Linked DNA regions of Rattus norvegicus. Each later gene encodes a partner of the first gene's protein in a complex. Links are inferred from orthologs where the notes say so. Each region holds a gene or a part of one and is shown in the gene's direction. Other genes may lie near its edges. The genes, in order: Per2 and Cry2.

What was found.
Region 2: the proteins of Per2 (region 1) and Cry2 are in contact, whole or in part, in a crystal structure (PDB 4U8H), measured with the Mus musculus proteins. The link is inferred for Rattus norvegicus from reciprocal best matches to the Homo sapiens genes PER2 and CRY2. Residues at the interface, in NP_035196.2 of Mus musculus: Tyr1132, Leu1134, Gln1135, Asp1136, Pro1137, Trp1139, Leu1140, Met1142, Ala1143, Asn1144, Thr1145, Ile1149, Met1150, Met1151, Thr1152, Tyr1153, Gln1154, Leu1155, Arg1158, Asp1159, Leu1160, Val1163, Leu1164, Asp1167, Gln1168, Lys1170, Leu1171, Leu1174, Gln1175, Ser1177; in NP_034093.1 of Mus musculus: Trp58, Ser63, Ser64, Val65, Lys163, Leu166, Thr167, Lys169, Arg170, Glu215, Leu216, Gly217, Phe218, Asn330, Pro331, Ile332, Cys333, Ile334, Gln335, Ile336, Pro337, Asp339, Asn341, Pro342, Glu343, Leu345, Ala346, Lys347, Ala349, Glu350.

What each region holds. Positions count from the first base shown.
Region 1 is NC_086027.1:99,488,086-99,504,090, reverse strand, and holds the start of Per2 (period circadian protein homolog 2), read left to right. Parts: upstream 1-7,097; 5' UTR 7,098-7,182; intron 7,183-7,212; exon of another isoform or gene 7,213-7,518; intron 7,519-14,454; exon of another isoform or gene 14,455-14,718; intron 14,719-15,744; 5' UTR 15,745-15,763; coding exon 15,764-15,984; intron 15,985-16,005. UniProt on the Homo sapiens protein: Transcriptional repressor which forms a core component of the circadian clock.
Region 2 is NC_086021.1:98,850,035-98,866,052, reverse strand, and holds the start of Cry2 (cryptochrome-2), read left to right. Parts: upstream 1-5,615; 5' UTR 5,616-5,617; coding exon 5,618-5,829; exon of another isoform or gene 5,830-7,540; intron 7,541-8,600; exon of another isoform or gene 8,601-9,198; intron 9,199-12,878; coding exon 12,879-12,987; intron 12,988-14,242; exon of another isoform or gene 14,243-14,407; intron 14,408-14,491; exon of another isoform or gene 14,492-15,022; intron 15,023-15,353; coding exon 15,354-15,496; intron 15,497-16,018. UniProt on the Homo sapiens protein: Transcriptional repressor which forms a core component of the circadian clock.

The sequences.
Region 1 (16,005 bases):
CCAGGTCCAGCATCAAACACAAGCCACCTTCTTCACGTCCACTTCGTTGTCACTGCTCTCACCCAGTGATGCTGGTGCCTCATCCCCTCTTTGCCCAATCCCATTACAGCCGTCTAGAGTTAAGAAGTCTGGTAACTAGTGCTACCAAATATTAGGTGATTAGCAAGGATCAGAAAACCTTTCCTGCAAAGGGTCAGATAGTAAACCGTTTCCGCTAATGGGCTCTTTCTGTAGGGTTGCAGTAGCATCCTGGGGCTTTCTTCACTCTCCCCTTCCCCTTTAACTCACAGGCTATGCCAAAGCTGGCCTTGCGCCAGATTTGACTGGCAAGGCATAGTTCAATGATCCCTGGTGATATTGATTATGATCCCACAAGGACAGGTGTGCTTTTGATACACTCTGTGTTTTACAATGCGACTCATCCCTCAAGTCCCATGCATAGGGAGCTTGGTCCTCAGAGTGGTAATATTGGGAAGTGCTGTGCACATTTTCAAGAGGTAGGGACAGTGAGAGGTCCTTAGGTCATTGAGGCCACTGAGGATCAAGGTAGGGTGCATGGGACACATTTGGTCAGTTCTAGAGCTAGGGTCATGGCCTTTTATCCTGTCCCTGTCTTCATTTTTGGTGAGGTCATCTCTCTTTCTCAGGTGTGCTTCTGCCACAGTGACATCCAATACAAGGTTCTCACCAAAGCCATAATCCAAAGGCCACCTGATCTTGGACTTTCGGCCTCCAAATCTGTGGGTTACATAAGCTTCTTTTCTTTACAAAGTAGCTTCTCTCAGATATTATGTTGCAGTATCAAAAACAGATCAGCATGCATGGTAAGAAGTTCAATTCCAGAGCAAGATCTTGGTTAAGGAGATATTTACAAAAACGTGTCAGATCTCCAGTGTTTCATTTGGGGGATCTTTTGAGGGCAGCTCAGTCAGGGTTGTTTGTTATTTTCTACAAGCCTTGGTCTGGGAACAGTTAGTAGTGTTTTCCATGTCAGGCTTTAAGAAGTCAGCAGGAGATGACAACCCCCAAACCACACGGTACTCAGCAGGCTTGGAAAAGACCTGACTAAAGGGTAGAGTTGTAGGCAGAGAACCAAGCAAGACTCACAGTGCCCCTGGAGCTTGTCCTGCTAGAAGATTCATACCAGCCTGACATGGCTAAAGGGACGAGTTGGGGGTAGTAACCCACGAGGAACACTTTCCCGCTAGCCTTTAGAGGTTTGGAAGGAAATCAGGAGAAGTCAGGGAACACTTTGTCAGTCACGTCACTATGGAGTTTCCTGCTGGGGAGAATATTCCAGAAGCAGACCGTTGGAGCTTAGACTTTGGTCATTCATAACCTGTGCCGTTTGCTTTCCCAGGCTCTGTAGGGTGGAGCGGTGAGGCTGCAGACAAAGGTTATCAGAGGCAGGCACGATTCCTATCACACTGAGAGCTGGGAATGTCTTCTGCAGAGGAGCAGTGGGGGTGAGCACTCATCTCATGCTGCTGTGAGGATTAAGTAAAAGAAGGCACGGTAGTGCCAAGCACGACTCCTGTGAGTAGAGGGCAGTCACAGCTTTGTGCAGTCAAGGTGGGTCCCTAATGGCCACAGACATCCATGAATGTGAATCTCTGGCCTCAGCCTCCTGCTTTCTTCTGTGTCACCCAGGATCAAATACCCTATTGGTGGCTAACTTTGATTTTCCTCAGGGCATGAAAGACTCCAGTTCCTGATGCTACTCCAGGACATCTACGTTAGGGGGAGGGGAAGAGAGCAGAGACGCTGTCATTCGGTGCCACTAACAATGCTGGAAGAAAACTGAGGTGACTTTCTTGGGGACACATGAGGATAGAGCAAGAGGGACTTCTAGGAGAAACCTATGACTTAGAAGAACAGTGAGATCAGCCCTTGACTAATAACAAAGTCCTTGTGAGGGAAGAAGATCCTCATGTATGGGGATCGCTTCAAACACGAGGATAGACAGAGATCACCTCAGACATGGAGGATTCCCTTCAGACATCGAGCATCACTTTAGACATGGAAGATTACCATAGACACAGACATGACAGTCACCTCCAACATGGAAGATCACCTCAATTATGGAGAACAACCTCAGATATAGAGAATCACCTCAGACATGCAGGTCCCCTGAGGTGCGCTCAGGTGTGCTGTTTACCTTAGCCGAGGTGTTGCTCAGGACACAGTGTATGCTAGCTTCATCACTGTAATGAATACACGAGGCAGTAGGTTTACAAAGAGAGAAAGTTTATTTGGGCCCGCCCTTCTGAAGGTTTCAGTTCACGGTTGATCCTCACTGTTACTTTTTGGCCTGTAGCAAGGGCAAGTGATCATCGAACCAGCATGTGGGAAACGGTTGATGTCAGGACTGGTATCAAAGGAAGATCAAGAGGTAGGTGTTTCACTGTCCCTTTAAGGGCATTTCTCCAATGACCTAAAGCCTCCTATAAGACCCACCCCTTCAAGGTTTCACCACTTTCCCAACAGTACCATGTTGGTGACCTATTCTTTAATGCACGGGTGTTTGAGAACATTCCAGATCCAAATTACAGCAGGGTTTCACCTTGACTGTGAGGGGATCACCTTGGGCATGGAGACTACCCCAGGTCCAAGGATCAATTGTCTCAGACATGGGACATTTTTAGTTTGAATGTGATATATTCCCCACTGGTTCTGGTGCTTGAGCACTTAGCCCTTGGCGATTAGTGTTATATTTTGGAGGTTATAGAACCTCTGAGGGTACCAGACACATACACAGTGTACAGATATACGTGCGGTCAAAACACACACACACACACACACACACACACACACACACACCAAAATTTTAAAATAAAAGGATAGCCAATGCAACTTAGTCCAGAGAGTAAGGTCTTCTATCTGAAAATGAAGGGAGATTATTTCCGGTGTCTTGCTGAAGTAGCTTGTGGTGATGATCGAAAACAAACGATAGGAAATCCCCAAGGAGCCTACCAAGAGGCATTTGATATAAGCAAGAAAGAGATGCAACTTACCCGTCCGATCCGCCTGGGGCTGGCTCTTCACTCTCCTGTATTTTACTATGAGAGCCTTAATAATCCAGAGCCTGCCTACACACTGGCTAAAATGGCTTTTGATGAAGCAATTGCTGAGCTTGAAACACTGAATGAAGACTCCTACAAAGACAGCGCCCTCGTCACACAGTTGCTTAGAGACAACTTAACATTATGGACATCAGACAGTGCAGGAGAAGAATGTGATGCAGCGGATGGGGCTGAGAACTAAAGGCATCCAGGACACCAACCTCCTTCCCCTCAAGAAAACCTTTTTACATCTCCAGTCCTTATTCCACTTGGATTTCCTCTAGCAAGGAAGCCCATTCATGTGTATGGGGTCAACTGTTTATAGTCTTTTCACACTGCAGCTTTGGGAAAACTCCATCCCTTGGTTTGTGTTGTCTCCGCCTTCCTGGTGTGCAGTTACTGCTGTAGAGAAGTATCAATAGCTTCATTTCATATAAACACGAGTGACTTCCAGACACTTGTGTAGAGCACATTTGGTATTTAAGTAATCTGAACCAGTTCTGCAACTGACTGTGTTTTGTATTACTGTGAAGATATGGAAACGGTAGTGCATTACAATTTAAAGTGATTGTAATAATAACATCATGATTTCTACATTCCTTTTCTGAACTTTCTTGGGGGTTTCCTTTCAGAAGCAACTTTTCCATGCTCTTACTACAAATTCCTTCTTAATAGGAATCCAGAAGTGTTAGATTGAATGGAAAGCGCTTAATGCATTTGGGCTTGGGGGGTCACAGATTGAAATGTCTCCTGTGTCACATATTCTGGAGGTTACATCTGTCTGTGACAACAGGGCATTTCCTTATGCATTCTTCATTTGCTGCTGTTTAAGTTGACAACTTCCTTCCCAATAAAGATTCACTTACACCTCCTGCCTTCGTAGCTCTGGTACTCGCTTTACCTTGTGATAGAAGTAGCATGTTTCTGCCAGAATACAAGCATTGCTTTGGGCAAATTAAAATGCATGTCCTTTCTTAATACGCTAGGAAGGAGAAATAAAGTACACAAGTCCAAGTCTAAACTTTAGTACTTTTCCATGCAGATTTGTGCACATGTGAGGGGGTATCTGGTTTGTCCAGTGATTGTTCTTTAGAGAGTTGGATCACTATATTGTGTGTTTGCTAATTATTGATTGTAGTCCCAAAAAAGCCTTGTGAAAATGTTATGCCCTATGTAACAGCAGGGTAACATAAAATAAAACTACGTTCTATAAGAAAATAAAAGGAAGTGATACAGGGCATTGCCTCAGACATTGGGTAATATCTCAGGCATAAAGGGTACTCAAGACATGGGGAGCACCTCACCCCCTGGACACAGTTGTCTTGTGATGGCTGTCTTCCTGTAGACTCCTTCAAAACTGTGAGGGACACCAGTGGCCACAAAACCCTGGAAAGAAGCTCAAACCCTGGAAAGAGTCTTGGGAAACCTCGACCTGCAACCCAATTCCCAAGTTCCCAAGGCACAGGTTTGATCTACAGCACCAACTCTGAGAACTGTCATTCACAGACTACCCACCCCCACCAAAAGTCACAGCTCTCATCTCAGTCAGGCCATTGGCTTTTCTTATATGACCTTATTACCAGGAAAGCTGATGCTTCAATCTCTTCTTGCGTGACATGACAGCAAATAGTTTTAGGCTGAGAGGAGGCTTCTTTTAAAACTGTATCTTCAGGGCTGAAGAGATAGCTTAGCAGTTAAAAAAACTTATTGCCCTTCAGGTTGTGGTTCCCAGCACCCATTGGGCAGCTCACAACAATCTATAACTCAAGGTAATGTGGGATACAGGGTAAAATACTGTCTTAAAAATAGAAGGAGGAGGAGGAGGAGGAGGAGGAGGAGGAGGAGGAGGAGGAGGGAAGAGGAAAGGAAGGAGAAGAAGGAGGAAGGAAGAAAGGAGGAGGAGGAAGAGGAGGAGGAGAGAAGAAGAAAAGGAGGAGGAGAGAAGGAGGAGGGGAGGAGAGAAGGAGGAGGAGGAGAGGGGAGGGGGAGGAGGAGGTTCACTTTGCATTTCTCTCCAAACTCAGGTGTTAGCAAATGTTCGTGGCATATATGAATATATTGGAAAGGAGAATCCAACCGAGTGAGAAACCGAAGACAAAATAGATCCCAAAGAGTTCTAGAGTCTCCACAGTATTGAGTTTCCGAAAGAATTGATTTCTATGGCTTTCGAGAATATTTACTGGTGGAAATAGCAAAGGCTAAATGTAAGGAGAAACCGTGACATTACATTGCAGGCCAAATGTGGTGCAAGACAAGAAAGAGCTGAACATGAAGAAGACTTTGCCAGGTGGATGAGCTGTGTACTCTTGTTTCCAGAACAATGCAGCCACCATTGACGTCAATGAAAGTGAGGAAACAAAAGGCCCTTTGGGTGTGTGCAGAGTGCAGCTTGGCCCAGCTCTGCTCAGTGTTTGTGCCTGTTGGGGAGTGTGGTGAGGTGTCAATGTCAGAGGAACCAGAGGTGCTGCCCTGCCCCCTGCAGTGTGAGTCAACATCTGGCTTCCCAGGGCTCCTTCAGGATGGGCTGCCGAAAAGAACTTAGTCTCTGCCTGCCCTCCCACCCACCCCCCTCCCCCGCATCTGAGGAATTGCATGCCTGTCCTGCCAGGCAGACAGAAAGAAGAGCCTCACTCACAGGGATTTTTGAATGTGGGTTAGCTGGCTGTGTGCACCAGCAACTCAGTTTGTTCACAGACTTGGTTGATAGTGTTTGCCTTCTTTCCATTCCTAGTTCCTAGGACACACCTGGGGAAGATTCAGAATAGCGGGTGCTACTAGGCTTCGAGTTCCTAGGCCACGACGAGTAACCTTTGCACCCTTCAAAGACATGACAACCTTGCCTCCCCCATCACACCCTACACTTCCAGAGCCTTTAAAATGTCTATGTCAGACAGGTAAGTCTTGGGCCTCAAACCAGTTCCAGGGAAAGTTCTACTCCCTCCTTTGACCCTTTGGACTGAATGCTTAATAGTCTTCCAGACAGTACTCTTGAAAGAGCCAAGTAGGTTCAGCCAAGGTTCCACAAGAGCAAGGTTGTCCTGTCCCCGGGGAATTCCCTCCCCTGACTAGCGAGTGTCTATAGCTTCCACCTCAGAAAAGCCCTGCTGTTCCAGATGCATGTCCCATCTACCCCATTCTCAAGTGCTCCGCTTCCACATACCCTGTAAGGTTAATAAACTACACCACCGCATTTGGTTAAGCTTCCCTACAGAATGCCAGTCTTTTCTCCCTATGCCATTGAGGGCAGGAAGAAATCACTTCTTTCCTTTGTATCTCTGCACCGCACTCATGACCTTATTTCCTGAATCAACACAATCTGGCAACACGCGATTTCAAAAACAAGAAAGGCTAAGTGGGAGCGATGTGCTCTGGCCCACGTAGGACGACCATCAGCCTGGGGTCCTGGCCTGGGGTCAACCAGGCTGTCCTGCATAGGTGCGCAGCAGCAGATCCAGAGGGGCCGCCCTATTTGTCCTCCGGCGCCTCGCCATGAATGAATGGGAGAGGAAATGAATGAACTGGGCTGGGTGAGCGAAAGGTGTCGGATGAGAGCTTTCTCGATCCCTCAGATTGCTGAGGCTGCTCACGTCGCTGCAGGTGGTAGGCCGGTGGCCTGGGACTCCGCCGGCCGTGAGTGGCGCAGCAGCCAAGAACCTTCCCCCCCGCGCCGCAATGGTACGCGCCACTCCCGGCTGCACGAGCGGGCCACCGCCATGCCAGGTGAATGGAAGTCCCGCAGGCCGGAAGTGGACGAGCCTACTCGCCAGGGCGCAGGGGGGCGCAAGAGTGCGCAACGTCTTCATTGAGGAACCGGGGCGGCGAACATGGAGTTCCATGTGCGTCTTATGTAAAGAGAGCGACGGGCGTCTTTACCAATCGATGCGCGGAACTCTCAGGTTCCGCCCCACCAGTATGCAAATGATGCGGCGCCGCGACCAATGGCGCGCGGAGGGGCGGGCTCAACGCGCGCGGTCACGTTTTCCACTATGTGACAGCGGAGGGCGACGCGGTGGCAGCGGCGCTACAGTGACTAGCGGCTCCGGGCGGCTGCGGCGCAGGCCGAGCGCACCAAGTGACGGGTCGAGCAAAGGACCGACGCGCGGGTGGACGCTGCGAAGCGGTGAGTGGCGCGGCGCTGGGCGGCGGCTCGGCGCTGGGCGGTGGCGCGGACCTGGACGGCCGTGGTCGGCTTACGTAACCGGCGGCTCGAACAGCTGGAGCTGGGGTCCTGAGCCAGGAGTTGCCGACTGTGCAAACGGCTGCAACTCCGCAGAATGTAGATGGGACTGCGCGGTGACCCTCTTTTAGGCGCACACTGCTGCCCCCCATTTCTCAGGTTAGGCACTGAGGTCGGGGAGATTAGTTAGGCATCTTGTCCGAGGACGCAGAGACATTGAGTGATCACCACACCAGACTGCGCGAGCCGACTCCAATAGTGATGACCAAGGAAACTAGGGTGAGTGCAAAACGTTCCTAGGATGGATCCAGAGGGTCCCCTGAGGAGCTAGCTTACTACTATAAGTCCAGATAGTCAAGTCTGGCCCTGAGGAAGGACCACTGGTAGGCGTTGACTCCCAGAGGTGGGAAAGGGGTTAAACAGAGAAATATCCAATGCCAAGCCACACCTGCCCCTCCCCGTCGTCAGAGAGACCACCTTCCTTGTCCACCCACTCTGATTTCCATGGCATCCTCCATGCCAGCATTTCCTGTCTCCAGATGGACTGGGTGTGTGTCAGGGGAGGGGGAGAGGTCCACTCTTGAGCTGGAGCAGTCACGTCATCCTTTGGGACATACCTTGGCTGCCAAGCGCAGACATGGACCAAGAGGTGGGCGGTGGCCTGCTTCTTCTCCAGGATCCCTGGTTGCCAGGGTTTCTGTAACGTATACACAAGGAACCAGTTTGGAAAGCTGATTCATACAGATCAAGGGAGCCAGAAGGCTCCCTGGAAATCATCCAGGGTAACCCCTAGCTTGAAGAGGCAGAGGCACAGGCTGATAGGCTGTACCACTGTAAAAACCAGGCCTGGCTGGCAGTCTGAGGATCCGTTTCCCCTCCTTGGTCCACATGCTTACCAGAGATGCAAGCCTGACACGTCCACTTTGCCTTACTCTCTGGAGTCTAGGTCGGATTTGTCTGATAAGAGAACCAGAGTCTGTGTACCTGAAGGCTTTCATTGAAAAAAAAAAATCGGGCTTTTAAATGCAGAGAGAATCACTTTTTATACGTCGTTGGAATCTAAAAAAGCCGAGGACTCCTTTATTTTAGTGGTGGCTGTACACTGTGCCCTCAAGGAATGGCACTGTGGGTGGCTGCGGTTATCCGTCACTGTCATCTTGGTGTGATTTCTTGGTACATAACTGGTGCAGTTTGGGCTTTCTGTGGAGGCTGGGGTGCCGAGCAGCGAACGGGGGAGCCTTGTATCAGCCAGCTGGTAGCTACGGGGTACCTCGTCTTACCCTGGGCCTCAGTTTCCTCATCTGAGGCGCTTTCTGAGATCTGGCCCCATTCACGCTTGGAGTTGTGTGTCTGTGGACCTTTATCTTAACTTCTATGGGGAGAAGTTTCCAAAGCCCTGCTGGTGTCACATAATGTCTCCGTGTGAGACTTCTCTGCTGCGCTTAAACAGACTAGGAAAGGTTCCTTTTATTTAGACAGCCTCTCCCAGACTTGGAACCTTCTAGAAAACCCTGGGAAGTGTGGGGGCCTATTATAATGGTCTAAGTTCATCCAATCTCAGCGGATCATCAACTCCAGCTCTGAGACGTCAGTGAGTGATTGGAGGCACGGGAAAGAGCCTCGCTGGATATGGGAGTGACCCTTGACTATGATTGCACTAGGTGACTAGAAACGCATAGCCCACAGCCCTGTGGAGCCCTCTTCACCTAACGCTTGTAGGAAGCTGCTTACCACCAGACTCCTGGGAGAACGAGCAGGTGCAGAGAGCCTCTGCTGGCCTGCTCCCAAACCATTGTACTTCCCACAGGGGATTCGGCCTTCACATGAAGTCTTTTGCTCATGGAATATAATCCTACCAAGCCGGTCACTGTAGGGCACTCTAGAGTCCAAAGTAAGATCGAAGCAGGGAGGGAGGTCACACGATTGACTTTCTACCGTGTGTGCGGAGAGGTCAGAGGACAAGTTGAAGGACTTAGTTCCAGGGCTCGAACTTAGGTTGTCCAGTCTCGGCAGCAAGTGTCTTTACCCTCTGAGCCATCTCTCCAGCCCTCACATAATTATCTTGGCACAGTGGGCTTTGTGAAAAAACAGGGCCTGTTTCCTGCAACACCTGGTCCTAGATCAGCTCAGGTCCTCGAGGGCAAAGGTCTGGGCTTCCTAGATCCCTCCAGCATTCAAACTGCTCTTTCCCACCTCAACCACCACCAGGGCCTGTCACCTAGGTACATTATTCATTGCAGCTTGGTACCTCAACATAGGTAAGGACTGAAAAGCCTGTGGGGGAAGTCCTATCGAGTCAGCACCCCGCCCGCCTGCCTCCTTCCCCTCCTTATTTGGACAGCCCTGGCCACATTTTCCTCCGTTACCCAACCGTCACCATGGAGAGAGTGGCTGTTTATTTAACAGGACAAACATTTTCTTCGGATTACAGCAGGCAGGCCCCAGGGAGTTGGCTCCTACCAGGAAGTAGAAAACATGTTATAATATTTGAGGTTGTAAAATACCATGGGGCTTGCAGACTCGAGGTACAGGCGTCGGGCCCCTGTTATATAAAGTCGGAAGACAGTCAGGAGTTTGCTGGGTTGTGATTAGCCAGGCTCGGGCTGTTCTTGCCGGCTGGCCATAGGGTTCAGGGACAAATACTAAACTGAGATCTTATGATGCGTGCGTCTTTACTTCTCTCTCTCTCTCTCTCTCTCTCTCTCTCTCTCTCTCTCTCTCTCTTTCTTTTTTTCAGAGCTGGGGACCGAACCCAGGGCTTTGCGCTTGCTAGGCAAGCGCTCTACCACTGAGCTAAATCCCCAACCCCTTTACTTTTCTCTTAAGGAAGTAGGTTCCTTACTCTTTTCGCTCAGAAAATGTATTCATTTCCCTCTTAAGTAGGAGGCCGTGAGGGTGAGAGACCCTTATGTTCCTAACTGGCAATGGAGGCTGGTTGTCAGGCTGTGCTGTCATTCCTGGTCCTGTCTTGTCCTTGTGGTTTGCTGGGGTTTTTTTGTTTTTTTTTTTTTTTAAACCATTTATTATGGAGAGTGCTAGTTACAGAGGCTGAGAGAGCAAGCCTGTGAACTCCCAGCAGCCAGCCTTGGGTGCCCTCCCCCACCCCAGGCCCATGATCTCATCACCCAGGGCACTTTTTTTTCCCTAACGTGCCTCTGTCTGGCCAAGGAGAGTGAGCATGACCGAGTGACTGGGTCAACAACCCCAGCTTAACTCCTACCCTCAGGTTGGCTGCTGTCCATGGGAGAGGCTCACGGATAGATATGGAGGGTGTGGGCTCAGGCTAAGAGGGTCTCAGCCAAGTTCTCCCTCTCCCTCCCAGACCCCTCCCTGAGACTACCATAGTACCCTCTTTCCCAGGGGCTTCTGCCCACCCATCAGAGCCAGGACTGAGTGCTGGATCATAAGTGCAGGAGGCAAAGTCTGCTTGGACCAGCAACTGTTTCTGCTAACTTGGCAAATTGGTGTCAGTCCATTAGCGCCACTTATGCTGAGCAATGCATTTTCTGGAATAATGAGGTTTTTGGGCGAGTTAGCTTAGTTTGTTGCCTTCCGTTTCTGCCATGTCTGCCTGGCTATCCCTGTGAAAGAAGTTTACCTTCCTCTCCAAGGTAACCTGGTGGCAACAGTGACCCTGTTCACATAGACGCTCGGGGATTGGAATTGCCAGGCACAAACTAGGAGTCCCAACACAGAATATCCAGGTTGCACCAGGGTGGGGTTGGGTAGAATGGGGTGTACATTTTTAGCCCTTTGCATGTAAGCCAGAGAGACACTACTAGTGGCTCGGCAGTGAACTCCCCGACCCTACCCTTGCCTGACCTGCCTGTTTCCCTGTCGTGATTTAGCCCCGAGATTGAAAGCTGGTATTTGTCATTTCTGGATTCCAGATAGATCAGACCATTTAATTTTCCCAAGTGCCAATAAGAGGAAGGAACTGTTTTTATCCCCGTCATAAAGATGAGGAATCATGGCACAGAGGCTAAGAGACTCCTCACAGCCTAGGACTAGTGGAGTATGGCAGAACGGGTGGCTCACACTGCTGCTGGCAGCTTCATAACCCAAGACAAAAAAGATGGCTGCTCATCTGCCTGTGTAGAGGGGATAGATGTAGTCTAGAGTATTAGGGGTCAAGAGTGAACAAATCCCGGGGCTTCAGTAGGACTGGGTGGCCATGCTGAACCTGGAGTCAGCCCAAGGGGACACAAGTGGCAAGTCTGTGTCAAATGTGCACCCCATCACAAGTCCTGGCTCACCCACTCTGTCTGTCTCCCAGGAATTTTTCATATCCTATGCATCCTGGTTCCTTGTTGACCTCAAAGGTGAGCCCTGGGAGAGCAGGATACCCCTGCACTCTAGTCTACTAGAAGGCCACCCTAGGGATCCCTGGCATAGGGTCCACAGGTGTGCCCCTGTGGTTTTAGTGTTTTAGACCCCCCTATAGCCCTTCCCGTGGGTGCACAGAATTGTGCTGCAGAGTCCTAGGCTCTACTATCCCAGCCCTTCCCGTGGGTGCACAGAACTGTTTGGTAGGTAGTGCTAGGCTGTGCTAGTCTGCTTCTTCCAGCAAGCACACAGTCATCTGTGGGGCAGAGCCCTAAGCTGTGTTATTCCCTCCCACCCCTACCCCTACCCCCTCTACCCCGTATCTGTTGGCGGGCGTGCAGTGTTCTTCAGTGTAGAGTCCCAGCCATGTTTCTTCCATAGTGTGTTCTTCTGACCGCAGAAGACACTCAAAACTCTTGCTGTCATACAGTGTGCTCTCTACAGGGGAATGGAAACACCATCCTGACACAAGCCCTACAGGGAGAGGATGATGAGGTTCTCTGGGTGTCTGAGGAGAGTGCTGAAGCCCAGAGGGAAGAGCAGCACAGTCTTTGGAGCAAGGCTAGACCAAGGGGCGGATAAATAAAGGTGTCTGGGGACAGCTAGACCTCGAAGAGCCTTCAGTCCCTTCTTTAGGCAATCCGTCCTCTGATCACAGGCCTAGCATAACTGACATCCATTCACCAGAGTCACTTGTCCTACTGTATTGACAGTGGTAGGGCCCGGTGGAGGCAGTAGCTCAGTCTGGAAGTTGAGGCTGGGGTCTAGGGGTCTAGGCAGAATGCTCACATTATACAGGTATCTGTGTACTACTCTAATTACCATACAGAGACGCCCCGCCCCGCCCAGCCCCGCCCCCTGCCTATGACACTGCTTGAGTTCTGTCTCGCTCATGACTTGTATGTGGGGTTTGACATTTCTGTGTCTCAGTTCCTAGAAAGAGGAAAGGTCACATGCTCTTTCAGAGAGTCTCTGTGGTGGCATTCCTAAGCTCCCGAAGCCAGCTATCCTACATCTTACCATCGGCCATCCTGCTAATGTTCCATGACAGTGGGCAAGACTTCTTCCTTAGCATTTTCCTTGTGCTGATGGCCTGAGCATCTCTCCATCAGTTCCTGTAGCTCTGTGGGAAGGCCTCTCTGTGAAGCCAGTGCCTTGGCATTTTTAAGTCCCCTCTCTTTCCTCTTTCCTTGAATTAGGCACAACTTCAAAACTGCTTTAAAAAAAAAAAAAGACCAGAACTTGCACATTTTATTCTGACTTCAGCTGGGGCAGTTCGTGCATTTAGGATTCCTATGACTTGGGATGCTGACAAACTCCACCTGTCTGCAAGTCCCTCTGGGGTGCCTTCCTTTCTCTGTGTCTGTCTTCCTTACAGAACTGGGTGTAAACAGTTCCTCCAGGGGCCCCTGCCTGGCAATCCCTCCTTCCTACTTCATAGGTCACATGTTTGATTTTCCTAGTCAGAGATAGATACCGCTTTCTTTACTCTTAAATAAAACATAATTTTAACTGGGGCTTCTAGATTTGTAGTACGTGGTACCAGGGTATATACAGATTGACAGATCAAAATCTGCGTATCTTGGTGTTCTGAGGTTTTTTTCCCTGGATGAAAATGGCCACTTTCCCTTCTGCTTGGTCATCACCTTCTTAGGTCTGATGTACATACCTGCAATCTCTAATCCCAGCACATGGCAAGCTCAGGCAGGAGGATTACAAGTTCAAGTCTATTCTGATCTACATAGAAAGACTTTATTTTACCAAAAAAAAAAAAAAAACAGTAGCAACAACAAATCCCCCATGACCAAAGATATTTCTCCCTTCTTGACTGAACTGTGTCTTTTTTTTTTTTTTTTTTTTGGTTCTGATGTTGTGTTTTTGTCTTGGCCTACGGCGTTATCTCAGTTTTCCTCACTTGTTTCATCAAAACTGTCTCCTGTAGACTTTCGTGCATGAGGAGAAGTAGGGATCGTCTGCCCCCTCTGTCCTGGGTTGGTCTTCCCTCATGCTAATGGCGATACTTTGTTGGAACCTTCTCGAAAGCCTCACTTTGGCTTTTGTCTGTTAATTGTGGACAAACAAGGCCTCATCACTCATGACGAGGAACATGTTCCCAGAAACAACATGGCTCCCATCTCCCTGGAGTCAACTCCACGGTGGAAAAGACCTGGGGAGGTCCTGCGTAAAGGATTGTGTTGAGCCTTATGATGCCATCACCGGGGTTTTGAAAGGATGTGTGATCTGCATTGTTTCCTGCATATGTGGCCACTTTCTTGGTGTGGACCTCAGGCTGTTCTGCCCCACAGTTTGTCTGCTAGCATCTTTCCATTGGTTATACCCTCTCTCCACTTGTCCCTCTGTGGCACGAGTGGGGGAGATCTGTAGTGCTGGTCCTCTTCCTTGGGCCTGGGGCAGTTGGGCAGGGTGTGAGACCCCAGTGCCAACCCTGGTACACTGTCACTCCTGTCACTGCTGCACCCTGTTGTGGCAAACAGGTGGGACCCTTGGAGTTTTCCTGGGCTGTGGAAAACCTTGCTGTTTCTCCAGCAGTTTGAAATCCTTGCTCATTTCACATGAATTATGGGAGCAGTGGGGTGGTGATGTCTAGAAAGCATCCCTGTCCTTGTCTACTCTGGGAAGGGTGAGCTCATGCTGCACTCAGGCCAAGTCAGCAGAGAAACCTCTAAGCTTAGCGTGGATACAGGATCCCACCAGAGCATCCTGGGTCAGGCTAGTGTGGAGCCGGCTGTTCCCCAACCTTATGCAGCCCTGGGTGAGCGTCCTACCCCATCAACTCATCTACAGCATGGAATCCTACATGCAGCGAGCGCACATAGTGATTGTAGTGTGACCTGGGCTGTCATTTTTTTTTCCTTTTCTTTTTTTCAGAGCTGGGGACCAAACCCAGGGCCTTGCGCTTGCTAGGCAAGCGCTCAACCACTGAGCTAAATCCCCAACCCCGACCTGGGCTGTCATTAACAACTTCGGCCTTCCATTAACAACTGGTGTTTTCCTGACTGCAAGGAAGCCTGTTGGAGTATTGTGTCCTCTAAGACCCTCTCAGAGAATGTACGGTTGCCACTTGGCCTCCTAGCAAGAGCCAGCAAGTTCCCTGCCCACTGACTTCCTCGTGTGCTTGGCAGAGAGAGAGAGGTCAGGAGGAGAGAGCGACCAGGCATTTCTTCCTCAGCCTGTGGTGATCTGGGTTTCCTTAGCTCTGTCTTCTTCCCTACCAACTTGGGTGGTGGTAACTGCCTAGGCCCAGCATGGAGTCCTTAACTGCTTTTAGCTGTTTGCATAAACTTAATGTGACCTGACCCCGCTTAAGTGACATCTGCTTCCTTCCTGCTAGAAATATTATCCCTGGCTCTCCCTCTTTCTCCCAGAGACATCTAACAGTCTCTTATCCTTGAGCTGTGGCCTCTTGTCTGGTGGTGATATATACACCCTTCCCAATCACTGTCTGGGCCCTTCATGGGGTTCAGATTTCTGTGGAAGCCTTCATAGTGGTGGGATTTTAGCCCCTTCTGTCCTCCTGTCCCTGAGCACACAAGTTGATGTTTCTATTTCACATGGCCATGAGATCCTGCCAAACGGAAACCAAATCATGGCTGTGCTACTTAGGCAGTTCAGTGACCTCTGACTGCTGAGTGTAGGCCTGATTCTCCTTCCCCTCACACCACCTTATGCCAACGCCAGGACACCTGCAGTGCTGGAGCCCTGAGCCCTGGAGCATTCCATGGCATACTGTGGGACCAGCTACACACAGAGAGCTCTTCACCCCTCACCCAACAGTATTACCTCTCCAGGAGGCCTTGCTGCCTCCACCGTCTCTGTGGCACGTGCCCTGTTGTGATGGAGTTGTTTCTGGACCACACTGCTGACTCTATTTTCCCCCTACCTGGGTGGCTGTCAGTGCCCTTGTCTGTCTACTGACAGGGCTGTCAGCACCTCTATAGCCCAGCTGAGGCTCCTAGGCGAGCGGCCTTCCTGATCCAGAGCCAGTAGGAACTCAGCAATCAGGGACATATAAGCATAGCAGTAAGTGACAGCTGTGCCACTAATACTTGGAATCAAACCGAGGGCCTCACACCTACTAGGCGAGTCCTTACTAGGGATCTATATCCCCAGTCTCACCGGTGCTCTTAACGTTTGCCCACCTTCTTCCCCTTCCACCAGCCTCATTCCAGAGCCCGACATGAATGGATATGTGGACTTTTCCCCAAGTCCCACCAGCCCCACCCAAGAGCCAGGGGAGCCTCAACCCACCCAGGCTGTGCTCCAGGAAGACGTGGACATGAGCAGCGGCTCCAGCGGAAATGAAAACTGCTCCACGGGGCGGGACTCTCAGGGCAGTGACTGTGACGACAGTGGAAAGGAGCTGCGGATGTTAGTGGAATCGTCCAACACTCACCCCAGGTAGGTCCAGCCTCGGACCCT
Region 2 (16,018 bases), on another chromosome or scaffold:
CAGCTCCTGGCAGCAGCACTGATCGCCTCCAGCGAAGATGATGGGCACAGAACCTCCACCTGGAACTTGCTTCAAATGTGGCGAAGCTGGACGCTGGGCTATAAACTGCTCTTTACCTCGACTGCTGGCAGCACCCTGTCCAAACTGTGGGCAAGCAGGACATGGGGAAGTGGACAAAATGGGACGGACAGTGCCCCTTAAGCTCCCACTTCACAGGAAACTTCATCAAATCATCTGGCCTGGTAACCACAAGATGGACGCCCCACAGACACAAAGGAGCTTGGATGACTGGCCAGGTAGCCAGTAAGTCTCTGTCATTTTTATTAGATTTGGAAGCAGCTCACCCTGCACGTCCTATTGACACAGGTGAAATGTATTCTTCTCAGGTTTCTGATGGGTTTGAAGATTAGACTCGTGATAGGCTTCAAAAGTTCAAAGCTTTAACATTGATCAATGGAGTTCTGATAATATTATCATAGCCACAAGCTCAAGATCTTAAATTTCCTTTGGTTGTCTTCTAAATATAAACTTAAAAGGACCGTTCCTTGTGCTCATTTGACGCAAACCCTCTACAGAACTTTGGACTCCCCAACATAGGACAAATGGACTGGACATTGTCTCACACTGATAGTTATCATATCTGTTCTTATTGTTTTTAGTTTACTGATGGTAGAAATAAAGCTATTTTTGTGGACTAAAAAGGAGAGATGTTGGGGTGACCCACCCCCACACATATCATAAGGAATGTCCCTGTATTCTCAAATGTTAATTGCTAGGCCAGTGGCACCAGGCTGGCAGGATGTGTAAGTGTTTGTGGGCCTCATCTGCCCCAAAAGAAAGGCAAGGTACCCTGGGGAGGAGTCTCTCCCACCATGTTAATAACTCTCTTGTGTAAGAAAGAAGTGTGGTATTTGAGCAAGAAAGTGCTGGCGACTGAAGCTGGGAGGGGGAGCAGAAGCTGGATAGAAGCATCATGGGACAGCGCAGGAAAGGAGAGCAGTGAGAACCAAGCTGAGGGTTGCCAGGGTAGAGAAGCCAGGCAGTTGGCGGCTTGTTGAGAGACTGCCCCAGGAGAAAGGCCAGCAGCCTTATACAATACAGATGTCTTTGTTATTAAAACCCAAGTCGGACCCCAAAGCCCTGCAATGGCTGAGACTCAGAAACATGCAAAGTGGGAAAACTCACACCCAAAAGGACAGATGTGTGCCTCCACATATGTGATGGGGACTGGTCTTTAGGAGCTGGCAACAGAGCAGAGGTAACTAAGGTGTTGGGCAGGAAGGAATGGTGGCCTGCTGCTTGCTGGGTACAGGGTTTCTACAGGGGACAATGTAACACGGCTAAAAATGTCAATTTGTGTTTTACATATTTGACAATAACTCATACACAAAAAATGGGAAGGGCCTGGGGCATAGCTCAGTTGGTAGAGTGCTTGCCTGTCATGCACAAAACCCTGGCTTTTACTCCCACCATTACATAAAAACCTGGGTGCTGTGGTACACATCTGTAATTCCAGCATTTGAGAGGTGGAGGCAGGAGGATTAGAAGCTGGAAAATTACCTAGGTCATGCAGGGGACCCAGGCTCAGTTCTCAACACCCACATGGCTGCCCACAACTGCCTGTAACTGCAGTTCCAAAGGATCTGACATACAAAGAACGGTGTCCACTGATTTTTATCTGCTTCTGGAGTCTCAATTATGAGCCATTTGTCTAGTTACCGTGCTCTCGTCCTACACAGCACCTATCATTCTCCTGTCTCTGTTTTTCTTTCCTTTCCTTTCCTTTTGTTGTTGTTGTACTTGGGGTTTTTTTTTTTTTTTTTTTTTTGTTTTGTTTGAGACGGGGTTTCTCTGTGTAGCCCTTGCTGTCCTGGAAGTTGCTCTAGACTAGGCTGGCCCCAAAGTCAGAGATCCACTTGCCTCTGCCTCCAGGGAGCTGGATTAAAGGCATGTGACACTAAGTCTGCTCGGCTATCCTCTCTGTTTTTCAAATGAAGGGAGCATGGAGAAATTAAAAAGCTCGCCCAAGTAAATAAATACACCATTCATTAGTTAATGGTAGAGCTGCAAACCGAACTAAGAGAAAGCTTAGCAGCTCCTCAAACTGAATAATTGAAAGGACAAATATTATTTTGGGGGGGTGTATTCTTGGAGGCTGCTGGACTCGTGCTTCCCAAGTCCTACCACTAGAGGGCGTGAGCGCCTTAAATTCGCCACGCTTTTCCCCGCCCTCTGCGTCGTCACATTTTCACCAATCATCAGATATTTACTGGAAGGGCAGATCCAAAGCAGAAAAGTTTCCCCGTATGATCTCTATAGAGGATTTTGACCAAAGGAAACAAACAAAACAGGAATGATTTGTCTTAAACATCGTCAGGGAAGACAGCATTCACTTTCTGGATGTACCATCACATCCTTGAAGTATCAGGTCCCCCCCCTTGGGTCCTCCTCTCCTTCTGCCTTTAGTGAGAGCTGGAGCAGTCCTTTTAGTGAGGGAGGCCAGGAGCTCCGAGGTGACCAAAATAGAATTCAAATTTCTGCGTCTTTAGTCATGTGCAGGTTTGTGTGCCCTCACTCCGGTATCTCCGTACTCATTTTAACGCACAAAATTACAAAGTGGACTTTGTCCTCCAGTGTCCTTTCAGGTGCCAGAACTGACATTCTGGCCCTTGAGTGTTGCCCAGGTAATTTACCCAAGTACTGGGCATCCATTCTGTGGGGTGAATTATCCTTATCAACTTGAATACGCAAGCCACACAAAACAAACATGGTGACACAGCAAGATAGAAACACTTCACACGCAATTGAGGCCACACTGCCCCTCCCTCTGGCTCAGATGTTTATGGATAGTGTCCATGAGAAATGGCTAAGTTGTTAGGCTTATCTTTGTTTTCTATTATTGCTGTAATTTTTGAGGTTTTTTTTTAAATGATTAAAAGTCTCATTCACTGGGTCATTTATGGAATACAGGTCATATGTAAGAAAAGGCCTGGAAGTTGCAAAGAAGGCAAAATTGGATGCAGGGCCTGGTCTCCAGAATAACAGCTTCTCACTGTGCCCAAGAAACTATTACCACCCCTGCTGTATCTACTAAGAAAGGGAGCCTGGAGTGACTAAGAGGTTAAAAGAACTACTTGTTAGTGGTGGTTTGAATGAGAGTGGCCCCCATAGGCTCCATTACTTGAATGCTTGGTCCACAGTTGGTGGAACTGTCTGGGAAGGATTAGGAGGTGTGGCTCCTGTAGGAGGAAGTGTGTCACTGGGGTTGGGCTTTGATGTTTCAGCTAAAGCCATTCTCAGTCAGTTAGCCTTCTCTGTCTCATACCTGTAGATCAGACGTAAGTTCTTGCAATTAGTCCAGAGCTGGGCCTGCCTGCCCGCTGCCATTCTACTCGACCAGCTTGTCCAGGGTCACAGAGAAGCAAGCAGAATTTGAGTTCAACCTCTTCATAAACAAGATAGGGCAGCCCCTGACTGCAGAGAGCTCACAGTACAACAGACACAGCACAATGGGAGTTTTAGAGAAGAGAAGAATTTACTCCCTGAACAGTCATTTGTGAATGGACCACCTCCTTACCCTCCCTGTTCTCTTCCTTGCAGACCCTCAGTGTTGTGGGGACCCAAGGAGACAAAAGAAAGAGAAAGGCGTACAATACCTCAAAGGAAAAGAAAGGGGGACCTAGAGAGATGGTTCAGAGGTTAACAGTGTGTATGCACTTTTCTTGCAGAGAACCTGACCCACGGGTAGTTCTCAGCCCCCGGAAACACTATGCTGGAGTCCATTAGACACATGCCTTCATGGGCACACACTTGTACCCAGACATGAGATTAAAAATAATGAAAAAGGGGTTGGGGATTTAGCTCAGTGGTAGAGCGCTTGCCTAGCAAGCGCAAGGCCCTGGGTTCAGTCCCCAGCTCCGAAAAAAAAAAAAAAAAAGAAAAAAGAAAAAAAATGAAAAAAAAACAAATGTTTAAAGAAAAGTAAAGGGAAACATCAGTTCACTCAACAAGTACTTGCAGAGGAGGCTCAAAGGAGAGAGTCAGGCAGAGACTGTGATAGACGTTAAGGCGCTGGCCAGTTTGAGCTTCTTATGTTTGATTCATGTGATCCTTCAGTGCCAAGTACTGAGCTAGACCTGGGAAATGTAACTGACTGTTGCCAAGGCCCCTGCATGCCAGGGCTTAGAGTCTGATGGATCTGACATACAATAGCTAAGAAATCCCAGTACTATGTGCTAAGACCAGAGATAGAAGAAGAGGAGGAAGAGGAGGAAGAGGAGGAGGAGGAGGAAGAGGAGGGGGAGGGGGGAGAAGGAGAACCAAATGAAATGAGCCCCTGGAGCTTGGGCCCAGGAAACTGGAAATGACAGCTGTCAAAGGGAAAACAGGAGATTCAAGGGTGTGGGCTGGGGCATGTGATTTATGTGAGGGAACAGCATGTCCAAAGCCCTGGAAATGAGAGGATTGTAATGACTCTGTAGTCAGAGAGTGGTGCCAATTAATGCTATTAACTTGCTGGTTAAATTCTAGATTCTTTCATTGCTCATTCCCAAGATGGGGAAGGGTCTACACATGGGATCAACACAAGGACAAATTGAAACAGTTCTCTGCTTGATAGCGCCAGCCCTCCATCCCAACTAGCCCATCTTAGCCCATGTACAGCGTGGGCAAGCCCTGTGCTAGAATCTCCAAAGAATCAAAGGGTTTCCAATGGAGACATAAGAGAATATTACCCTGCACATTTCTGATTCCCACATGAAATCCAGTAAAGAGTTTTGTGCAAAATAACGGCACTGTCTACTAAACAGAACGTAAAAGAAATAAATTCATCTGAGGACATAATGACTGTGTCAACCCACATCCTCTGGAACCTTTACCCTTTCTCCCAAACCCACTTCTGCCGCATACAAGGGCTTCTCCTTCATCCTTATGCCTTTCTGCATGCAAATGCCAAGATTCTCTTCGAGGAAGTGGGTTAAAGGCAGAAGCTTTGAAAATGAAAGATTCAGAGCGGAATCTTACTGGGTTCATGGTATTGCGCAAGCCATTCAAACTGGAGTGCCCTAAGCTTACTTCATCTGCAGAATAAGACTAACAAGCATCTGTTTTATTCGTGTTTGTGGAATGAACGTAACCGGGATGAAAATAGAAAATAGGACAGTTTGTGTAAGGCAATCACTGCTCAGCCAGCCTCGAATATGAACAGTACAACGTACTGCAAGAAAGGGCCTGGTGACAGATCTGTCAGCCACCGGCCGGAGTCACCTCAATCCCTATTTGCGTAGGAGACGCGAAATGCGTAGGAGATCCGGGGTCCCTCCAGACTCAGCCCACGCGGGGCGGGCACAGCGCCATCCTGCGTCACCGACCGGTGGCTACCAAGCCCGGACCACACATGGTGGGAACGTGAGGGGGCGGGGCCTGCGTCGGCGCTGCCGACCAATGGAACAGAGGGAGGGACCCACCCGGTGTCACCCAATCACAGAGACGATTCAGGCTCCTTGGGGTGGAGCTATGGCAGGGAGAGGCTGCATTATAGGCCGCTGGGCGGGCACTGGGCGGGACCGACGGTGTGGCCAGGGGCGGAGCAGCAGACCAAGACCCAGTCCGGGCGGCGATGGCGGCGGCTGCTGTGGTGGCAGCGACGGTCCCCGCGCAGTCGATGGGCGCGGACGGCGCGTCCTCCGTGCACTGGTTCCGCAAAGGACTACGGCTCCACGACAACCCCGCGCTGTTAGCTGCCGTGCGCGGGGCGCGCTGTGTGCGCTGCGTCTACATCCTCGACCCGTGGTTCGCGGCCTCCTCGTCAGTGGGCATCAACCGATGGAGGTGAGGGGACCCTATCTTGCGTGGTGGTAACATTGAGCGGACTCCCCCGGGCCCAGGAACTCCAGCCTGCGGCTACTGACACAGCATTTTTGCCCTGTGTGGCCCGCTCTGAACTCCGGGGCGGCCTGGGGAACAGAGGTCACGACCCCTCTATGCTGACGAGACTCTCGTTAGAAACGCGAAGTTGGCCTGCAGCCAGTCCCTGGCAGAATGGGACTGGGCTTTTAGGGGTGTGCTGTAGGAGGGGACAAAAGCGTTCAAGAGCAGGAGCTCCTCGCCGAACCCCACCCCCAAGGGCTTCCCTAAGCCTCGGGTTTGACTCTCCCCACCCCCCTTTTTCCCATCGCGGATAACCTTTCTTCACAGACAGCGGTGGTGGTGATTAGGGAATCTAGCTTAGCATTAGCCAGTATTAAAAAGACCTCAAGGGCATTATCGGTTAGTGGCACTTTGTGTTCTTAACTCATTAATTTTTTATAAACATTTATTGGGAAAGGACATTCATGACATGGCAGTGTGTAGAGTTAAGAGGACGACTTGCAGGTTCTCTTTCACCATACGGTTCCAGGCTGGAAGGTGGGTTTACCTAGGAGGTGCCCTTAACCCATCTGAGAGGATCCCTTCTGTATTGTAACTTTGCTAGAAAGATATTCAAAGAGGGTTGCACCACCCGTCAGCCTTTCCTCCTGTTATCATGAAATAATTTTTTGAGAACAGTTGGACCATTACAGATGAGACTTTTAGGAGCTGATGTAAGGGTAAGGAACAACAAAACCACAATATCAAGAACCCCTTATAACTCCCAGGAGGTTGAGCCCTTTCCCGGCATTCTGTGACACGATTAATAAATTGGTAGCTGATGTATTTTCTCTGTAACCAGTATTCAGAAACAAGAAAGTTTTGATACATCATGTACCCATCACTCTTTAAATGCCTCCTACAGTAGCTTGGTTTGTTTGCATTGTTAGAGAGATGTTTGCTTATGGCCTTGTTGCACAGATGAGCAGAGTAGCTCCCAGGAGACAGTGGCTTTCAGCATCCATTCTTTCCTCTCCAAAAGGGGTTTGCCTTGCTAGGAGAGCAAGTATTCCTAGTAGAACATCTATTAAATGCCCCTGCCTGCCCCATTTACACAGTGGAGAGCCAGCCCACACTGTTTTCAGGCTGTGCTATTACTCTGCCTCGCTCCAGTTTCCATAGATAGGAGGTTAGATTTGACAAACACCAGGGAATGACCATCTCTACTGTGGACATTAAACCAGGCCTCAGACTTTGCCCTCCCCTTCCTTTTGGCAGTGTGCCAATGTGGTTGGAGTCAATAGAATCTCAGTCTTATTTGTTATGTTGTCATGAAGATGTTTCTTTTTTTACTGGGATTGGGGGAGTGCTGTCTATGACTGCCTACTCCTTTGTGGTAGTGGAGATAAAAGAGCCTTTTTTTTTCCTTCACGAAGTTGATTGAACTCCACTATACTAAGAACTTGGTTTTATGGGGTTTTGTGGGTCACCCTTTTGTAGTTGCACTTTTTCAAGAGAATGAAGCAGAAAAGGGACAAGGCAGCTCAGATGCTTGGGCGACAGACATCTCAAATCATGTGGGGATGCAGATGCCAAGAGGTGATTTCGGGGGTTGGAGCTGGTAGGCCGCTGCTGGGCATGGCAGTGAACCATCGGGGCTCAGGTGTGCACGCACAGCCTCCAGAGACTGCATCTGAGCAGAGGAAGACAAGTAAAAATAAATGGAGGAGGCCTAAACACCATGAACCAAATAAGATGGGCATGTGTGTGTGTTGGGGGGGAGGGAGGTAAAAACTACAGATGTGTTTTTATTATTTGCCTCACATTGAAATCACTTAAAGATCCTTGAAAGCTTCCTGGGCTCCCTCCCCCGTTTCTGATCCAATTGCTCTGGTCTGGGTTGCCTTTTTTTTGGTGGGGGAGGGGTGTTACTTCAGCCAAGCTTCAGGAGTACTGCACTAATGAACTACAGAGAGTCAGGCAACCCAGGGTGTGTGTTGCTTCAGTGCATTGACCGGAAGTCTAATTAGCTTTGGCATTTAGGAGAACAAGGTGAAATAACACAAAACAGATCGAATGTGGTAACTGCTCCTGAGCCTGGCAGGAGGCACGCCACAGCAGCCTGGCCATTGTCCTTGCTCCCGAGGGTTTGAGAGCAATGCTATGCTATGTGGTGCACAGGGTTGGAATCAAGGAGTCCCGTGCCCCCACCCCTCCTGTCAGCTGCCTTCTGCATAACTGCAGTATGTGTAATCTTCCGGCGCTGCTTCCGGAACTTGGGAGTAGTCTAAGGGAATGGGGCTGCAGTATAACAGCCCTGCCCCCTACTGCTTCTGCAGCCTACACTGAACTGTCTCTCTAGAAGGGTGGGGCCATCTGGCAGAAGTGGGAGATCTGAATCTGTCACCTCTGTCACACTGACTCCCTCCCTGCAGATGGAATCAGATTAAAATAGCCACAGCGTTAGTTAAAGAGAAAGGCAACCAAGAAAAAGAGTGTGTGTGTGTGTGTGTGTGTGTGTGTGTGTGTGTGTGTGTGTGTGTGTGTGCGCGCGTGCACATGTAGGCATGGAATAAGGTTGCCATACTCATTGCCTTAGTGATAATAGGAAGTCTGTGGACCGCCAGTAGCTCTGTGGCTCCCAGGGATGTTTTCCTAGCATCCTTCGCCATTTTCCTCTGTCCTTCCCTTCCCAAATATGCTGTATCTAGAAAGGAGGTTCTGCAGGCACAAACCAAAACAAAAGGCAGATGTGAATGGCTTTTAGATTTTAAAAATGGGTGAGACTCCATCCAGTTTTTTGGTTCTTTTTTTTTTTTTTTTTTTTTCGGAGCTGGGGACCGAACCCAGGGCCTTGCGCTTCCTAGGTAAGCGCTCTACCACTGAGCCAAATCCCCAGCCCCTACTCCATCCAGTTTTAATTACCTTCTCTCTGTCACAGCTTAGATGTCAGCCAGGATTCTCCTCCTACTCTGTTGAAATTATTTTGTCCCTGGCTCTGTGCTGCATCTTCCAGGAGCTTCCAGAGCAGAGGGAGTTAGTAGATGTGTCTTCTCTCTTAGTCATTTCTCTCAGAAGTTAGCCAATGATATAGGACGGGGACTCTTGTCATTTAGGAGCTGGACGCAGCTGAACAGCTGGACCATCAAAGAGGGTGGCCTGGGAACTGGGAGGCCACAAAGAGGAGGTGGGATCTGTAGTTGCTGGTGGAGAGATTTGTGTTCCTTGAGCTATTGAGCTATTCACACTGTAACTCCAGCAAGAGGCCTCACTGTTCTGTAAGCCAAGAGCACATTTCCATTTGCCCAACAGGGGTAAAACCTTTGATCAAGTTGTTTAAAATTAAGCACCCTGCAAAAGAAAAAAAAACATATTTTTATTTATATGAGCCCCTGCTACAGACTGTGGGATTAGATTATTCCTTTTAGTGGGGCTTAAACTCTTAATTTCTTGGAAGTGAATTTCTATCTATTAATATCTTGTTACCAGTTTGCCAGCTTATAATATTGTTATGGTTAGATAAGCTTGCTTGAAGCAGAAGAATTTGGTCAAGGATGTCTGGACAGGAAGAATTCACTAACCTACCCACCCACTCTCACCTTCCACTCTATTAACAGATAAACCAAGTGTTTCTTTCTTTCTTTCTTTCTTTCTTTCTTTCTTTCTTTCTTTCTTTCTTTTTTTTTTTCTTTTTTCTTTTTTTTTTTTTCGGAGCTGGGGACCAAACCCAGGGCCTTGCGCTTGCTAGGCAAGCGCTCTACCGCTGAGCTAAATCCCCATCCAAACCAAGTGTTTCTTAACACAGTCATTACTATCCCCCAGAGAAGATCTCTCTGAGTGGACATATGGAACTCACTTGTTCTGAAGAGATCGCTTCCTGGAGTTGATGATAGTTTTCCCTGTGTTTTTTGGAAATCCCAATTTGGTTTTCTCCAGTTCTGTCTGCCCTGGCCCCAGAGGACTTATGTGATTCTGGCGAAAGGACTATTCAAAAGGGGGAGTTCTGACGGAAACTGTAGGGGCTGTGACTGCTCCTTCAGGGGGTGTGCTCTGTATTTTAGCCCTGTGATCTTCACTTGGAGCAAGGGTGAAGATCAGCCCCAGCATCACGCCTTCCAGTGCGTGAGCAGTGAGCAGGTGCAGAGGAGGGTTCAAAGAAAGCCCAGAGGGAAAGGCCAGTTCTCCCCAGTTAAGGCAGCCTCAGCCTGCCAGGTGGGCACTTTCCGGGTGCAACTTGCTCCAGTTCCTTGGTGCTTTGCAGAGCTATCACCTGGCAGGTACAAGAGGCGATGTCTTGTCAGTGGCTTCCCTGTCTGTGGCTGGCTGGGCGCTGGAAACTACCGAGGGCTCTCCCTCTCTCCTTCCTATTGCCTCCTGGGAAGCAGTTCTGAGTTCATCTTGGGGAGGATGGATGGTGGAAAAAGTTCAGCATTTCCTTTTTTGGGGGGTGGTGGTGGTGGTTAGAGCTTGAGAGAGGGTTTCACTGTAGTCTGTCCTGAAACTCACTCTGTAGACCATGCTGGCCTCCAACTCATAGAGATCTGCCTGCCTCTGTCTCCTAAGGGCTGGGATTAAATAAAGGCCACCGCCACCCAACTAGGTAAATATTTCTTAACAGCCTGAGTCTGATGGGGTTGGGGTAGAACCTAGTAGAAGCAAAGTTGAAACAAAAGTGTACAGTGTACCGATATTGAAGTCAAGGTGAAGTGTGTGACACAGTGGTTCTTCTTCAGTTTTCATGGATAAGGGAATTCCTGGGCAAATTCTGATTGTGGCAGTCTGGGATGGAGCCCAAGAAAGTATGTGTGTTCTAGAAAGTTCCTGGTCATGCACAGCTAGGGCTCTGAGTCTCACCACACTTTGGGAAGCACAGATCTACAGAAAAGATGGTAGCCTTTAATTAAGCTCAAGTACTCTCTAAGAGCTGAACCCTAGGCAGTACCACCCACCTCAAGTGTGTATTGCTCAGAGCGGTGGGTGTGCTCACTGCTGAGGTCCAGGAGCCTGGTAGCTGAGAGCGAACACTGAGCTGTAGACTCCTAGTTCTGGCCAGCTACTAGGTATGTTATGTTGGAGAAATTACTTAATCTTTGATGCTAGTTTCTTCATCTGTAAAATGAGGACATCCAGGGACAGAGTTGTCTGATAAATAATATATGCAAAGCAAGTGGGATAGAACCTTGCTCAGAGAGTGCTTGGTAAATGTAGCTGTTGCTGTTGTGAATTGCACCGTTGTTTTATTCTAGCTATAGACTTTTCCTTCTGCTTCCTGCCAGAGAAGACAAGGGTATTCATCTTTGCTATAGAGATGCTGCTGAAAGCTCTCCTTTTAGTAAATGAGTTCTAAAAATAAAGTTGTATAGAAAACAGTTTGCAACATACTCTAGAATCTATATTTCCTGTGCATTTCAGCCTTGGTAACTGCCGATCGAAGTTCTCAGGTGTGTTGAGTTGTATATGGCTGGACACGTTGGGATCTTCTGATGGGAAGGACCTCTGCCCTGAGGTGTGGAATTGTGCCTGGTGGAGCCTCCTGTTTCTGGTGGCTGAGGCTATCTGCCCCCTCAGTCTTTATTTTTATTTTGTATGTGTATTAGGGGCAGCCAGCAAAGTGCCGCCCCCCCCCCCAAGACCAATTTAAACAGGCTTGCAATTCAAATGTAAACAGGTTTAGCCTTCAAAGGGTGTCAGGTTTTCTAAATTGGAAATTTCACTGCAGGGGAACTTGAGGAGCCACAAAGCAACCTTTAGGCTGTCAGTCTCCTGTCTCAACCCATTGGGTAAGCCTATGTGTTCTTTAGCTCAGTGATGCTCTGGGCTGGGCTCCTGCTGGAATGTGGGTCTGCAGCTTTGGACATGGGATTATGTCATTTCATGTACGTCAGAGGCTGCAGGCAGGGCCTAGTTCTGGTTGGCACCGTCAAGGCTTCTGTAAGCCTCCAGTAGTCAGGGATCTACAGCAGGTTCTGCGGAGGGACCATGACATGAGAAGCTCGGCCTGTTCAGGCTGGGGTCCTGAGGAGGAAGATAGGCATATGGAAGACTGTCTGGACGAGGCTTGTGTTCCAGGCTCAGGAGACTCTCAGCCCTTGACTAAAGTATTTAGAAATGGATCACTAGAAAAAACAAAAACAAAAACAAAAACATGGCTTTTAGAGTCTGGTCTGCCTGGGCCACTATGCCAGCTCAGTCACCTAATAGCTATCTGCTTTGCTAAATTCCCTAACCTCTCTTGTCAGATTTTTTGTCTGCAAAATGGGGATAGTTCCGTTTCCTTCGAAATGTGTTGAGGGAGTCAAATTATGAAAGTACTTACGAATTAGAATAAATCCATAGTCAAACTGATGACCATGGTTGCCTTGGGAAGGCAAGAGAGGATATTTCACTCTGTACCCATTTGTCACTGGGATTTTGAACTACATCAATAGCTATACAAGTAACACTGTGCTTGCTGCCCAAGGGACTGTGGGACACAGAGAGGCATGGAAAGTGAACCTTCAGAGATGGCTCAGCCTGTGATTGTGGCTTTAGTATTTAACAGACATATAAAACAGCACCAAGATCAGCTCATAGTGAGGATGCGAGTTCAATGCCTAGGCTCTGTGTCTCAGGTTTTCCATGCACTATCTGATTTGATTTCTTAGCAATTTCATGAGGTAACTAACATCTTAGCAAGTCTATAGGCTCTACTGTTTAATTCCATGGCATGGATGAGAAAGCAATTAAAGAGGTTAAGTCATTGCCTCATATCACACAGCTAGCTAATAAGCAGGAGGCTACCCCATCACTCCTCGGCTGAGCTCAGGCTAGGCCTCCAGCTCTGTCCACACCATACCAACTTGTTTGGCATGAATAGTGGCTTTGTTAAGGAAGAATTGTGTGTGTGTGTGTGTGTGTGTGTGTGTGTGTGTGTGTGTGTGTGTGTGAGAGAGAGAGAGAGAGAGAGAGAGAGAGAGAGAGAGAAAGATTGCTTACCACCTCTACCCTAGCCCCTACCCATGTTAATAACGAGGTCTTTGTGGAATCCACAGGTTCCTACTGCAGTCTCTAGAAGATCTGGACACAAGCTTAAGAAAGCTGAATTCCCGTCTGTTTGTAGTCCGGGGTCAGCCAGCTGATGTGTTCCCAAGGCTTTTCAAGGTGAGCATGAAGGGCTGAGAGGGAGCTTCTGTTGCTTGGCTTCTTCCCATGGAGTGAAATGCTATTCTGGCTGGCAAAATGGAAATACTGGTGCCTGTCTAGCCACTAAAATGGCTGCTAGGGAGGTCAGAAGCAGGGACTGCTGGTGAATTTGCCAGCAGGGTGGAAACTGTTAAGGGAAAACTGTAAAATCAGTGTTGTGTTGGAAAGATCCCAACTCAGCCCAGACACGCAGGGTGGTGAGTCCTTCCACCCTGCTGCCGCTGGCTTCCTTATGCTTCTGTGGTTCCAGCCAGTATGTTTATTAGAGCTTGTTCCTGCCAAGACTTTGAGGGTGGGGTTTCCTGTCTAACAAGGGGTGCTGCCCACCTCAACTTGCTCTGCTTATTAGGGAAAAAGTCAGTCAGGCATTTGAGGGACCCATCCCTGTTTCCCTGCAGTAAGCAATTAATAAAATCTTTTTTCTGGCGCCATACTGGACGCAAGCCCATTTTCTCCTGCCTCTTTAAAATGCATGTTTTAAGGCCCAAGCAGAGGCAAAAGTTCTCATGCATAGAACATTCTAGACCATTCTCCTTCATCCTCAGTAGCACTCCAAGTTCTATATGAAAAATCTAATGTCAGAGAAAATAGCTTCATATTGTGTCTTCCCACCCCATCCCCCATTATTCTGTACACACCTATGAACACTAGTCATTAGCATTCTCCAAGAGCTGACTGGGTCGTATTCCAACTGTTACCATATGTTAACACCCACCCCTAGCAGCCCCGAGTGGTGGGTTCTGCCATCCCAGGTTTATAGGTAAAGAAGCTAGCATGCACCCCTGGCCAGGAAATTGTCTTGGGCTCCCTGACATAGAGCTTTGTGTTTGCCTGGCAAACCCTGTACATGCATTCGTTAGGCTGTGGCTATGGCTCAGTGGTAGAGCACTTGCCTGATATGTATGAGGCCCTGATCCCGTCCCCATCACAATAAAACCAAGACAATGGTAATAGAAAATATTTTGTCGGGGTTGGGGATTTAGCTCAGTGGTAGAGCGCCTGGGTTTGGTCCCCAGCTCCGAAAAAAAAAAAGAAAATATTTTGTCTTTTCTATCCCTCCACATTGCTCCTCTCTCCCAGGAGCTCAGAGGCCAAATGGTCTATAGCTCAGAAATAAAGATCCATTCATTGTTCATTGAATCACTCATTATGTATTTACTGAGCTTCTACCAGCTTTCAGGCCCCATGCTGACTGATAAGGCCCTAGTGATACCTGTACAATCCAGCATGATTTCTACTCTGAGTTGACACAATGATGGGCAAAACAGGCAGTAATGGGCAGCTTCATTGCCTGTGACAAGCACCGTGGTAGAAATAGGACAAGGCACAGGAGAATCATCCTGAAGGACTGAGCACTGTCAGTTAATGAGAATCTTCTTGTTCACAGGGTTCTATGAGTATGTAGTGATGTCATCTCTGTAAACCACTTAGCATCGTAAGGGCTAAGTAAATATATAGTATATTCGGACTTAGATGAGCTGGATATTCACCCTGCTAAGGACTCACTCCCCTGGGCAGGCCTGAGTTAGGATAGTGACCAGTGGCTCAAAGCTTTAAGGGACTATGACCAGAGGCTGGTTAGATTGTTTCCTTCTTGCTAGTTCCATGCTATAGGGCTTTCTATGGCTTGTCTAGATAGCTTTCACCAGGTCCACTTTCTCCTAGTGTTGCTAGGAGACTGGGTTATTCCTACCCGAAGTGACTTAAAAGCTCAGAAAAAAATTTCCCTTTTCACAACCTGTAGCCCCTCCAGTTTGTTTTCTCTGGACTCAGAATAGCTCCTCCTTCTCCAGCTCTGACAGCCATTAGCTCGGTTTCTTCTGGCCTAGGGAGTGTTGCTGTGGAAACCATTAAGACACTTTACATAGCACAAGTCTGCCAGGAAAACTAGGCCACAAGTTTGTAGAGTCTGAGGAGGCCTGGGAAAAGCTGCAGAGCAGGCGGGAGTGTGTGTGTCAGACTGCCTCCCCACCCCCTGCACCCCATTTTGACTGTGAGTCAGTGCTTCTCTGTGGGCTGGGGGCTCCCCTGGGAACATTGTATTTATAGCCTCATTCTCCCACCTCAAGGCCACAGTGAATGCACAGGGCCTTTCTTTTGACTCCACCACAGCAGGGTCGATGGCCTCACCCTCCTGGCTGCCAGCTCCACACTTCCTGAGCCTTGGGCTCTTTGCTTTCCAATTTAAACTATTGTCCAAGGCCCTTTCTTTGTTCTGTACCTATTCTAACCTAGCTCAAGATTAGCCCTGCTCACTCTCAGAGAGAAGCTGAGTGCCAGGGTCTCTCTTCTTGAGCCAAGCATAACAGATTATTTCCACACAGGAATGGGGGGTGACCCGCTTGACCTTTGAATATGACTCCGAACCCTTTGGGAAAGAACGGGATGCAGCCATTATGAAGATGGCCAAGGAGGCGGGTGTGGAGGTGGTGACTGAGAACTCTCACACCCTTTATGACTTAGACAGGTAAGAAAGACATGGGGGCTCTCGGTAAGGTTGCCCTTCCTGAGGATTGGTGAATTGGGATCCTCCTAAGTGACTTGGACCAGTTCAGCAAGAGGGCTAACTGGCTCATGAGGTTTGGTATTTTCTAAAAACTGGACAATCATGGGCCAGAGTTGGGGGCTAAAAAAAATCACCAAGAGGTTACCTAGTTTAGATAACAAAGAGGCTTGCGTAGGCCCAAGTTGTGGAAGCAGGGAGGATCTGTATCTACACAAGTCTTCATAGATCTGTCATTGGCTCATTGAGCTCCCCACCCCCATTGTGCTCCCAAACTACAGAATCATAACCTTGGCAGACCCCATCTGTCACTCCTCTCAGCAGGCCTCTGTTCTCTCAGACCTAGTTTCTACTCCTAGAATGATTCCCAGGTCTGCTCTGCCTATCTGGGTTTCCGGGCCATGTATTCTGATACTGTTTGAGGGCTCTAGAGACCCCTGCAGGGTGCTGGCAACTACAGCAGAGCCTCCTTCCCCAATGGCAAGG